Linked DNA regions of Schizosaccharomyces pombe. The protein of the gene in region 2 interacts with the protein of the main gene of each other region in a biochemical or structural test. Each region holds a gene or a part of one and is shown on either strand. Other genes may lie near its edges.

Region 1 (4,792 bases), 110 kb from region 2:
ACATCTCCAGCAAGTCATCACGAATAGTGGCCCTAATTTCCTCTTGAGCTCCTTCAATTTCCAGATCATTCATCCTTTCCAAACGAACGCGATTTTCCTCATCAATACCTTGATCATCCAAATTCCCTTTTCCTTCCAAACCCGGAGATTCCTTATTCTTTCGAAGCATCTTCTCCTTATAAGCACTCATTGATTTCGATTCTCGTTTCGGCAATGTTCGTGAAACGGCTGGAAATCCCCTAGCATGCCGCTGAACTGACCTCTTCACTTCAACAAGTTGCTTCGGCGGTTTTTCAACAATATCACCTATCACATTTGAGAATACACTCCTGTGATTCTCCATAGCGATTGAATTTTGAAAATATCTGCTTTTTGTATGTAGATGTTTCCTTTTTATAAGAATTTAAGGGTCAATTTCTTCAAACCTCACGAATAAAGCCCTCTGAGATAGTATTATGAGATTCTGATTAAATGAATAATAAATACTTCAACCTTATGAGTTTTTTCTCCCTTTCACTATTTACATACCATTTGGTAGATTGCAGGGATGGTTACGTTTTCTCTCATTTTCTTAGCTATTTTGCGCTCACAAAATAACGGTACATCTCACTATATATGATAACGTAACTGTAAAAATTGATTTATTGTATGGAAAAAAAACTAAATGTTTACATGATATGAAAAATGGATGGTTTTTTCCTTTTTTAATTCAATACTTTTCATTTAATATTAAAAGTGCATAATAAATAATTAATTCGTGAAAAAGTTTTCTAGTTATAAAAGAGAAATTATGAGAAAGATAGTATCCGAGTTTAATAGGACTTGGGCTATCCTTGAAGATTAAAGAAAGAAAGAAGTTATTAGAAGAAACGACATTCATCCAAAAAGAAAAAATAGAGAACAGAAAAATGAGTGGCGAGTAGAAGATTAGACAAGAAAAGAATGATAAACACTAAAAATATTTCGTCTCAGAGAAAATATCTTAATTCAAACATAAAAACGAAAAACGTCGCTTTAACCCTTTTTCATATGACACACCTAAAACCAAACGCAGATGAGATGCGACTAATTATTAGCTCAATGTAAACTTCTTGTCCGTTGCCTATCAGGCGAAGAGTTAGAAGATACAGATCGTCTTGAATTGAGCAGAGCCCCATAAATACATCAATTATTCCAATATACATAAATCTTGAATCAATGTTCAATTATAGCAATTAAGTTTGGAATCCGTGCTTTGAAAATAAAAATTGGATTAAACTTGAATCTAAGATTCATGTCGGAGACCAACGATTGTCGAATTTTGTAGATGGTAACCAAAAAAGAAAAGGCCATTGTTGAATTGTTGCAACATGAAAAAACAAAAAATAAAAAATATGAATTCCGATGATGAACAACAATGAAAAAAATAAGACACGCAAAATTAAAGAATTGGGGAGTGAAACTTTGGAAAAAGCATTAGAGAGTATGGTGGAGGGAGATAAAAAATCTTTGGAAGACTTCTTTTTTAAGTTTTCGAACTTCTTTAACAGATTTTTTTGACTTTCAAGTTCTGATGCCAGTAAAGAGAGACCAGCGGCAAATTGGGAATCGTTCAAAGTCTCCGTTTTAGGGATGTAAGGGATGTGAAAGAAAGGGCTGGGAAAAGTAATTTTTAGATTTTGATACGGAGGGTGATTTTGGAAGGGTTGAGGCGCCTTTTCCTTAAAAAATAGTCTCAACTGCTCGTTTTCCAACTGAAGATGTGCAACCTTTTCTTCTAAAATCATGTTTGACTCCATAAAAGCGCCTCTTTCTTTTTGTTCCGACAAAGATTCTTTCTTCATGTAATCTGTTTCCTATTAAACAAATTAGTAAACTGGCTTGTCTCTACCTCGAATAAGGCATATTCTTAAAAATCATACCGTTTTCCTTTCCTTTTCTACAGCATGGATTAGCTCTTCCATTCTCACAATATGGGCTTGCTGTTGCTCATACTCTTCATGAATGGTTTGTAATTGAGCTGCATACTCCTTAGAATCACGAAGAGCTTCACGAAATTTTTTCTCCCAGGTTTTCGCTTGGGTATAACAAGACTTGCAAGCTTCTTCCGAAGAATCCAATTCCTCCAATAATTTTGCATTTCGCGCGTTTAGTTCTTTAACTTGCTCGTCTTTAGAACGTAATTCTGCCGCTTGAAGCTCTATCCTTTCATAAAGCTGTTGAATTAAAGAATCATCAGCATTTTCCTTGTTTATATGAGAAAATCCTTTATTTGATCCATATTCATTTTTAGTTCGAAACATTGACAAAGGGGTTGAATGACTCAAAGGTGATCCTTTTCTTGGTGTTATGTAACTTGCGTCTTGATAAAACATATCTTTTCTCTTTATTCGATTTTCTGATATTTTTTGAGGCTTCGCTACACTTTTTCTTGGTAATACCCCATTCTCGCGCAAAGCTAATTTGTTTACAGGAAGGGTATCAGGGTCAAGACCAGTTAACTCATAAAACAAATTCTTAATTTCACTCGTAGACACTACAATCTCACTGTTATCTTTTATAAAATCTTGGGCCGATTGTCTTTGCTCATTATCAAGCAAAGGGGCCTCTGGATTAAGTCGCAATGCGTCAACATCGTCGACAATTTCTAAAAATGCTTGAATGGAAACCTGTCGAAAATTAGAAACTATTTTTCAAGTAATGAGAAATTACTTTTCCTGTATAATCTGGGTCGTATTGGCGCACAATATCGTCAAAAGGGATGTATTCATCCATTTTGATTGTTTATTGACATGTGCTTTGGTTAAACAGAATTAGTATAAAGGCAGGTTTGTTAACGATAACTTGTGCGATTTTCTTATTTTTGTAATGTAATGCAGAACAATACGTTATAGAAGTTGCCTTAAAAAAGTAAACAAAGTGCAAGTCAAAACATAAACAGGATATTTTAGCAAAATGTTGCAGTACGAAATGTATAAAATTGTTAGCAAAATCATCTTCAAAATAAATTATTTTTTACTGATTGAGTTAAAGTGGAAGGAAAGCTTTACACTTACCTTTTTTTAAAAAACAAACAAATAAATAAACAGATAAACAAATGTGATCCGTTTCTTGAATCTAGATTTACTTAATTGAAGTAAATAGACTACTTAACTTAGAAAATTTACTACAATCATAAACAAGTGAAATTCTGCTCTCCTTTATTTTACAACGATGCACAAAAAGTTAGTCAGCGTTCCGACTAATTGGCGGTAGTAGAAATAGTAATTATACAAATTCTTTAAAATTTTCTAAAAAGTATATTAGTATCAAATTTTTCTTTTGACTATTTCACTGATTATGTTAGGCTATGGATTAATAGCTATTGAACTCGGTTTTCTTTGCATGGAATAAGCAAACTCACATTAAAAGTTGGTAAGTCGTTTTTAAAAGAGATGAAAAAGCTTAACTGTGACGATTATATCTCCTACTTCTCTATTCAATTACTGACAGCTTACACATAACAATGATAATATGGAGGATCGTGTTGCTTCAATGGTGCAACGATATTTTATTTAGGAATTTCAGTAATCTAAAACATACTTAAAAATAAATAAATCTAAACTATAAGCTTATCGAATTCCCAATACTCGTTCACTAGTACACGGAGTCTTTGTCTACCTCTCCTTAACCAAACTGTTGAAAGCTGAGAAACCTGTGAAACTATTTCTAAAAATCATTCAAACTAGGACTTTTATTGAACTTATGCGGTGATTGAAGATCCCTATGCAAATTGTAGGCTATTTGTCTGCAGATTCGCAGAGTAATCCTGATTTAAAATCCGAAAATGAAGCAAAAGAAGAAAAGCCTATTGGGAGGAGACACACAATGTCACCAGTCCCTGCCACATCTGAAAATAAATATTTTGGCAAATCTCCTTTGTCAGGGTCTCGTAAACCTCGAAGAAGCCGATCACTTCATAAGGAACGTAGCTACATGAGGAAATTCTTTGATATGGATATGGAGGAAAGCAAAGACTTTGAAAATGATCAATCTTTACTAGTAACGCTTAAAGTATCGACTTCCTTGGGTCAAAAAATTGAGAATATATTACACCCAAAACTCAGCAATGATACCAACTCAACTGCCTTTCCGCCTGCTAAGTCGTCGGGAGAAGCATCAGATACTAATATTTTAGTTGAGAATATTAATTCACAGGAAACAGTTAATTCTTCCCCCCTTGTTTCCGAGTTACATTATTCAAACTTAGCAGATTCACCTAGTAATCTGCGAAATACTGTCACATCCATGCACCCGTTTTTCATGTCAAAGTCTGTGAAAAAGAATTCTGAAATCAAATTTGTAAGTGAAGAAAGAGGCGGTACTAAGCCAGAGAGGTTACTTGATCCATTATGGCCGACACCCGATTCCCAGAGTATGTTAGAGTATGCCGGCTCTATTGAGCCGAGTGTTTTCTGGTTTCCGAAAAAGCATTTAGAAGAAGCCATTTTAGAAGAGACCTCTCATCTTTCGTTTAAGGAGGTTCTTTCCTCCACCACCGCGAATATGATAACCCCATTAGCTGAGAAAAATAAAACAGAAGTATTACAGGTTACTCCTTCTAAACTTCATACTTTTGCTTTGGAATCGTTGTGCTTTTCACCGGCTCCTTTTATTCAAAAGGTTTTGTCAAGACTTTTGCCATCAGATCCTAATGTTGAAATGCCAATGATCCCACAAATATTAGAAAAAGGACTGTGGGTGTCAAAATATGCTCCATCTAAAACACAAGATTGCTGTGCGTTCTCTCAATGCCTTTCGAAGATAGCGGATT
Region 2 (4,572 bases):
TATTTACAACATTAAAATTAGTATGCTTCTATTGTTGTTGTATAAATTTTTTGTCTATGCATTCGATCTCTGACGCGCACATAGAAGCCTGCGCCCGATTCACAACTTGCCAACTACCATCAACTGGTTTTGTTTTTGTACCCAATTATTTAAGGTGTCAAATGTCTGCTCAACAGTTTTATGGTGATAAGGGCTATGTATGGAATTTGTTATGCAGCTCAGTTGCAACAATTTATTCAGGATTTTACTAACAGCTTCAATTTTAGGCCCCTGCTCCTCCTCAACAAGCTTATGGAGGCCCAAACTATTATCCTCCTCAACAAAATTATCCTCAACAAGGTTATGCTCCTCCACAAGGCTATCCTCAAGGTGGATATCCTGCTCAGCAACCTATGTATGTTCAGCAACCTCAGGCCAGTGATCCTGGTGGCGATCTTTGCTGTGGTCTGTAAGTATAAAGAATGGGCGCGTAGAAGACGTCGAAATTGCATTGGAACGGTGAAGCACACTCTTAATTTTGAAAGGTGAATGGGGTATTCTTTATTGAATTAGGTCATTACGTCAGTCGATTAAAGTTGCTTTGGCGTTCCTTTCGAATAGTTCCCTGTTGAACTGTGTTTTGCTTTACCTTTTTCTCTTTACTAACGACTGTTTTTAGATTGACCGGTCTTGCTTGCTGTTGCTGTTTGGATGCAATGTTTTAAAAAACTATTTGGCTTGTTCTTTCTACTTTTCTCGAAAGAGAGCATGCACCACTGATTAAACTAAAAGCCGTGTTTATTTTCTGACTTGAGTGCAATTAATGATTGTTGGTTATTTTTTCATTAATTCCCTCGCCAGCAAACAACTTTATGGCGAGGATTTATTTATTTACATTGGTAAAGCGTTGGTCGAATAATTATAGATCTTGATTTTTCTGTACAGAGTGTCGTCTCACTTTTTGAAAATTGCTATTACCCAACCGTTTAATTTCAGCTTCTTTTCTTCGAAATTAAAACCTTTAGTTTTATGATGGACTGTCTTTTCTATTTTTTAAGCGCAAAATCTTTTACAGCATCCATTGGTCTAAATCGTTCTTTATGAATAATTTTTAGTTTGGATTAGTTGAAATGACTCGTCCTGAAAAAATTCGCATGTTTATTTATCTTGCTTACCCTGAAGGGGCAATATGTGTGTTTCGTTTTTAGCTAACCTTTCTATGGTTTGTCTACTTTTTTGCTGCTCGTTATATGTTGTGTATTCTGTTTAGTATGCTGTTGTTTTCTTTTAGTGTAGATGAACTCTTTAGATTTCCCAATATGTTTAAGTTTGATAGAGTCGGTTTTTGATCGATACGTATAAGAATTCCTTATTTGTTTTTTAAAAAGATTTTAAAAGTAAATTGAGGCATATATCTTACGTAAAAAGTTTAAAGTTTCTAAGATTTGCTTTGACTATTTCAAACAGGTAGATAGATGCGTGCTTTTTCTATGGTGGAAATACGACAAACTTGTTCACGAAAATGAAGCTCAACCATTGCGACCCCCCTTGATTCAAATGCTATGAATTTGGATGCGCAAGCTCGTTAAGACAAAAATTGCCATATGACTTTTATTGCAATGAGCGCTATATCTACAAATACTCAATATCCTTTATCAATTACCCATCTATAAGTATTATTTATAATCGTAGTAGTAAATGTATTTCATTGCAGCTATACTCTACTTCCTATTCAATTACCTCCTCCATATAGCGAAAAGACCGTTCACGATATCACAAAGTTTATTAACATACAATAACGAGTTCACATATTAAAAGAAATATGACGATACGCAGTGTGTAAAATAGTGTACTGAGAGGACGTCCAATGTAACATGCGATCGGGTTCTTTATTAGTTTGTTGTGTTTGTGCCATACGTTGAAAACCACCGAATTGGGAAATATTGTTAAAGTTGGGTTGTTTGGACATAATTTTGTTAAATTCGTTTAAATTATTTATATTTTTAATTATATTTTTACATGCAGAACAATTCAGAGATCCGATAGAATGTCAGGTAAGGAATTCCTATGTAAACAAAGCTAATCTCAAAATTTAGAAACTTTGAACACTCCGCCAACATATGCATGGGTTTTGAAAGCATTTTCTAGTAAATTAGCAGGAACTGTGACGAAGCCTGTTACAAAAATGTCCTCTTACATTGAGGATGCAGAATCTGATGCAGAACTTCCGCAAGACGCAAAAGAAGACCTGCGCCCAACTGAGACATTAACTCCGTTAAAAAGTAAAGCAGCACAAAATGGGATTTTGAAAACTCCAGGTACTTTACAAATAAAGAAGACCGTCAATTTCAAAGATATTTCAAAAGATGCTGCGACGTGGAATCGTCCAACGAAAAATAATTTCTTATTTACGAGATTAGATGATGAGAATCCTTTAATGGGTCATGAAGAATTCAAATCCCCTTTGTTACAGAGTACTCCAAAACCGAATATTAATAATCCGGATAATGAAAACAAAAGTAAGCATGACGAGTTTGATAATCGCTATAATATTAATATCAATGAATCCTATAAAAATGAGACAAAAAGCAATCAGAGATTAGGCGAAGATGTCCCTTCAAAGAAAAAATATCCTCACTCGATGGATGCCGAGATCTCTAAATTCAAATGGGATAGTAACAATAATAATGACTGGTCAAGTTTAATGAAGGATTGCTTTCGAGATGTTGTGAACAATAATCGAAAAATGAAGGAAATTATTAAAGACGTTATGATTGACACATCCCAAGCTTTTCCCTCTGAGAGCTTGGATGAACCTGACTATACGATAAACCTTGATGCGCCTCGTTCCTCTTCAGGAAAATACTGGAAGCAAAAGTTTAGTATGCTAGATTCTGCTCATTCGGATCTTGAGTTAGAATTAACCTCTATCCGTGAGCGTTTGGAATCCTTAATTTTAGAGAAACAAGAGGAAATCAATTTTTGGAAACAACGTTGTCGAGCTTTAGAAACGGAGAAAATCCATAATCATCAAGGACAACAGTCAAAATACAAAGGCAAGGAATTCGTTGGAAATAGATTTAGCCAAATGAGGGAGCTTTATACTGCTAAGCCAAGTCCGATTACTACTAAAGTTGTTTCTAGGCCATCCCAATCTGATGTGCGTGAGCCTCAAGAACAGGTTCCTTCCAAGAATTTACATCGGGGAGCAGATATGTCGCATTTGGCAGCTCAAATGCTGACTCATTCATCAAAAAAGTCCCATACGACAAACCTAATACCTTCTGAAGGAATAATTTCATCAACTCCTATTTCCGCAGCTTCCAAAGTACGTATGAATTTAATGCAGTCTAATCAAACTCCTACACCTGCTCCATTTTCAATAGCAGCAAAGAAGTCCCACTTACCGTCGAAACTTAGTTTCCCACAAGATGGTGGTAGCTTATCTTCTGCTACTACCTTGCAGCAATTGCCAAAAGCAAGAGTGACGCCAAACGTGTTATCTTCTTTAAGCTCAAACCTTGGAAAAACAAATCCAACGTCAGTATACCAATCAAAAGCGAACGTAACTACAAGTGCTGATGTTGAAAAACCACAAGTTAAAGTTGCAACTAGTTCTCGCGTGGATTATGATTTGAAGAGTCCAAATCAACGTACTGCGAATGCAAAGAAAAGATTAGAGGAAAGGAGAAGACGAAGGAAGTTGAAACTTCAAGAACTTCAGTTGAATTCCTGAAGGTATAATTTTACTAGATCGATATTGTATAATTAGAATGCATATCCTTTTTAAGTAAAGGACTGGAGCCTTAGTTTCATTTATTTTTGTTGAGGAAAGGTGTGTGCATCAAGTATTGAAAATTAACTATATTCCTTTCGAGAATTAAATAAAATATAAGTCCATTATTAATATTAACTCAAATTACTAATTTTTAGTATAAATGATGGATTCATTATAAGAGGCTTGTAAAAGGCCGTATTAGTCGTGGATATTGTAATTTAATTTCATCTTTTCATGCAGTATTTTACTAGAAAAACATTCAGCTGTACATTTAGATCGTAAGCTGACTGGAAGAATTCCATCTCCTCAACCTCCATTTGAATCTTGTCTTAGGCCATACGCAGTAAAAACTTGAAAGTAGCAACAATTTCATATTACCACACTACGATAGGTTATTAAATGGGAAAATGGGTGTCTTAGAAAAAGTAAATAAAAATATCTGCCGTTATATACTAATCTAAATTGGCTAGATTCAAGAGATTGAAGCTGAAATGCGCCGGACGCAAAAAAATAAGGCGACGGAGTACCATCTTGGTTTGGTAAGTTTTTTTAATTCATTTCTAACTGGAATGCCTTTTATTTTATAGCAAATATTACAATGTTGTTCCAACTTATAAAGAATCAACTCTAAATTAAACTAACCTAGTCCTTTAGTTGAAAGGAAAACTCGCCAAGCTGAGGGCTCAATTACTTGAACCTACTTCAAAATCGGGGCCAAAGGGGGAGGGCTTCGATGTTTTGAAAAGTGGTGATGCTAGAGTTGCATTTATTGGATTTCCATCTGTTGGTAAATCTACTTTGCTGTCTGCTATTAC

The links.
Region 1: the proteins of cut12 (region 2) and kms2 form a complex in vitro, tested with the Schizosaccharomyces pombe proteins (one study listed by BioGRID).

The regions. Positions count from the first base shown.
Region 1 is NC_003423.3:646,236-651,027, forward strand, and holds kms2 (protein Kms2), read right to left. Parts: upstream 2,785-4,792; 5' UTR 2,755-2,784; coding exon 2,692-2,754; exon of another isoform or gene 2,649-2,691; coding exon 1,902-2,648; exon of another isoform or gene 1,836-1,901; coding exon 1,272-1,835; 3' UTR 701-1,271; downstream 1-700. Other genes in the region: rba50 (RNA polymerase II-associated protein), read right to left, coding at 1-343; DNA replication factor C complex subunit Elg1, read left to right, coding at 3,745-4,792.
Region 2 is NC_003423.3:539,257-543,828, forward strand, and holds cut12 (protein Cut12), read left to right. Parts: upstream 1-1,899; 5' UTR 1,900-2,026; coding exon 2,027-2,033; exon of another isoform or gene 2,034-2,075; coding exon 2,076-3,715; 3' UTR 3,716-3,912; downstream 3,913-4,572. Other genes in the region: tail anchored plasma membrane protein Uvi15, read left to right, coding at 162-197, 267-448, 659-704; GTP-binding protein Gtp1, read left to right, coding at 4,165-4,182, 4,228-4,296, 4,412-4,572. UniProt on the Schizosaccharomyces pombe protein: Required for bipolar spindle formation. May act as a regulator of the p34cdc2/cyclin B kinase. Required for full activation of the plo1 kinase.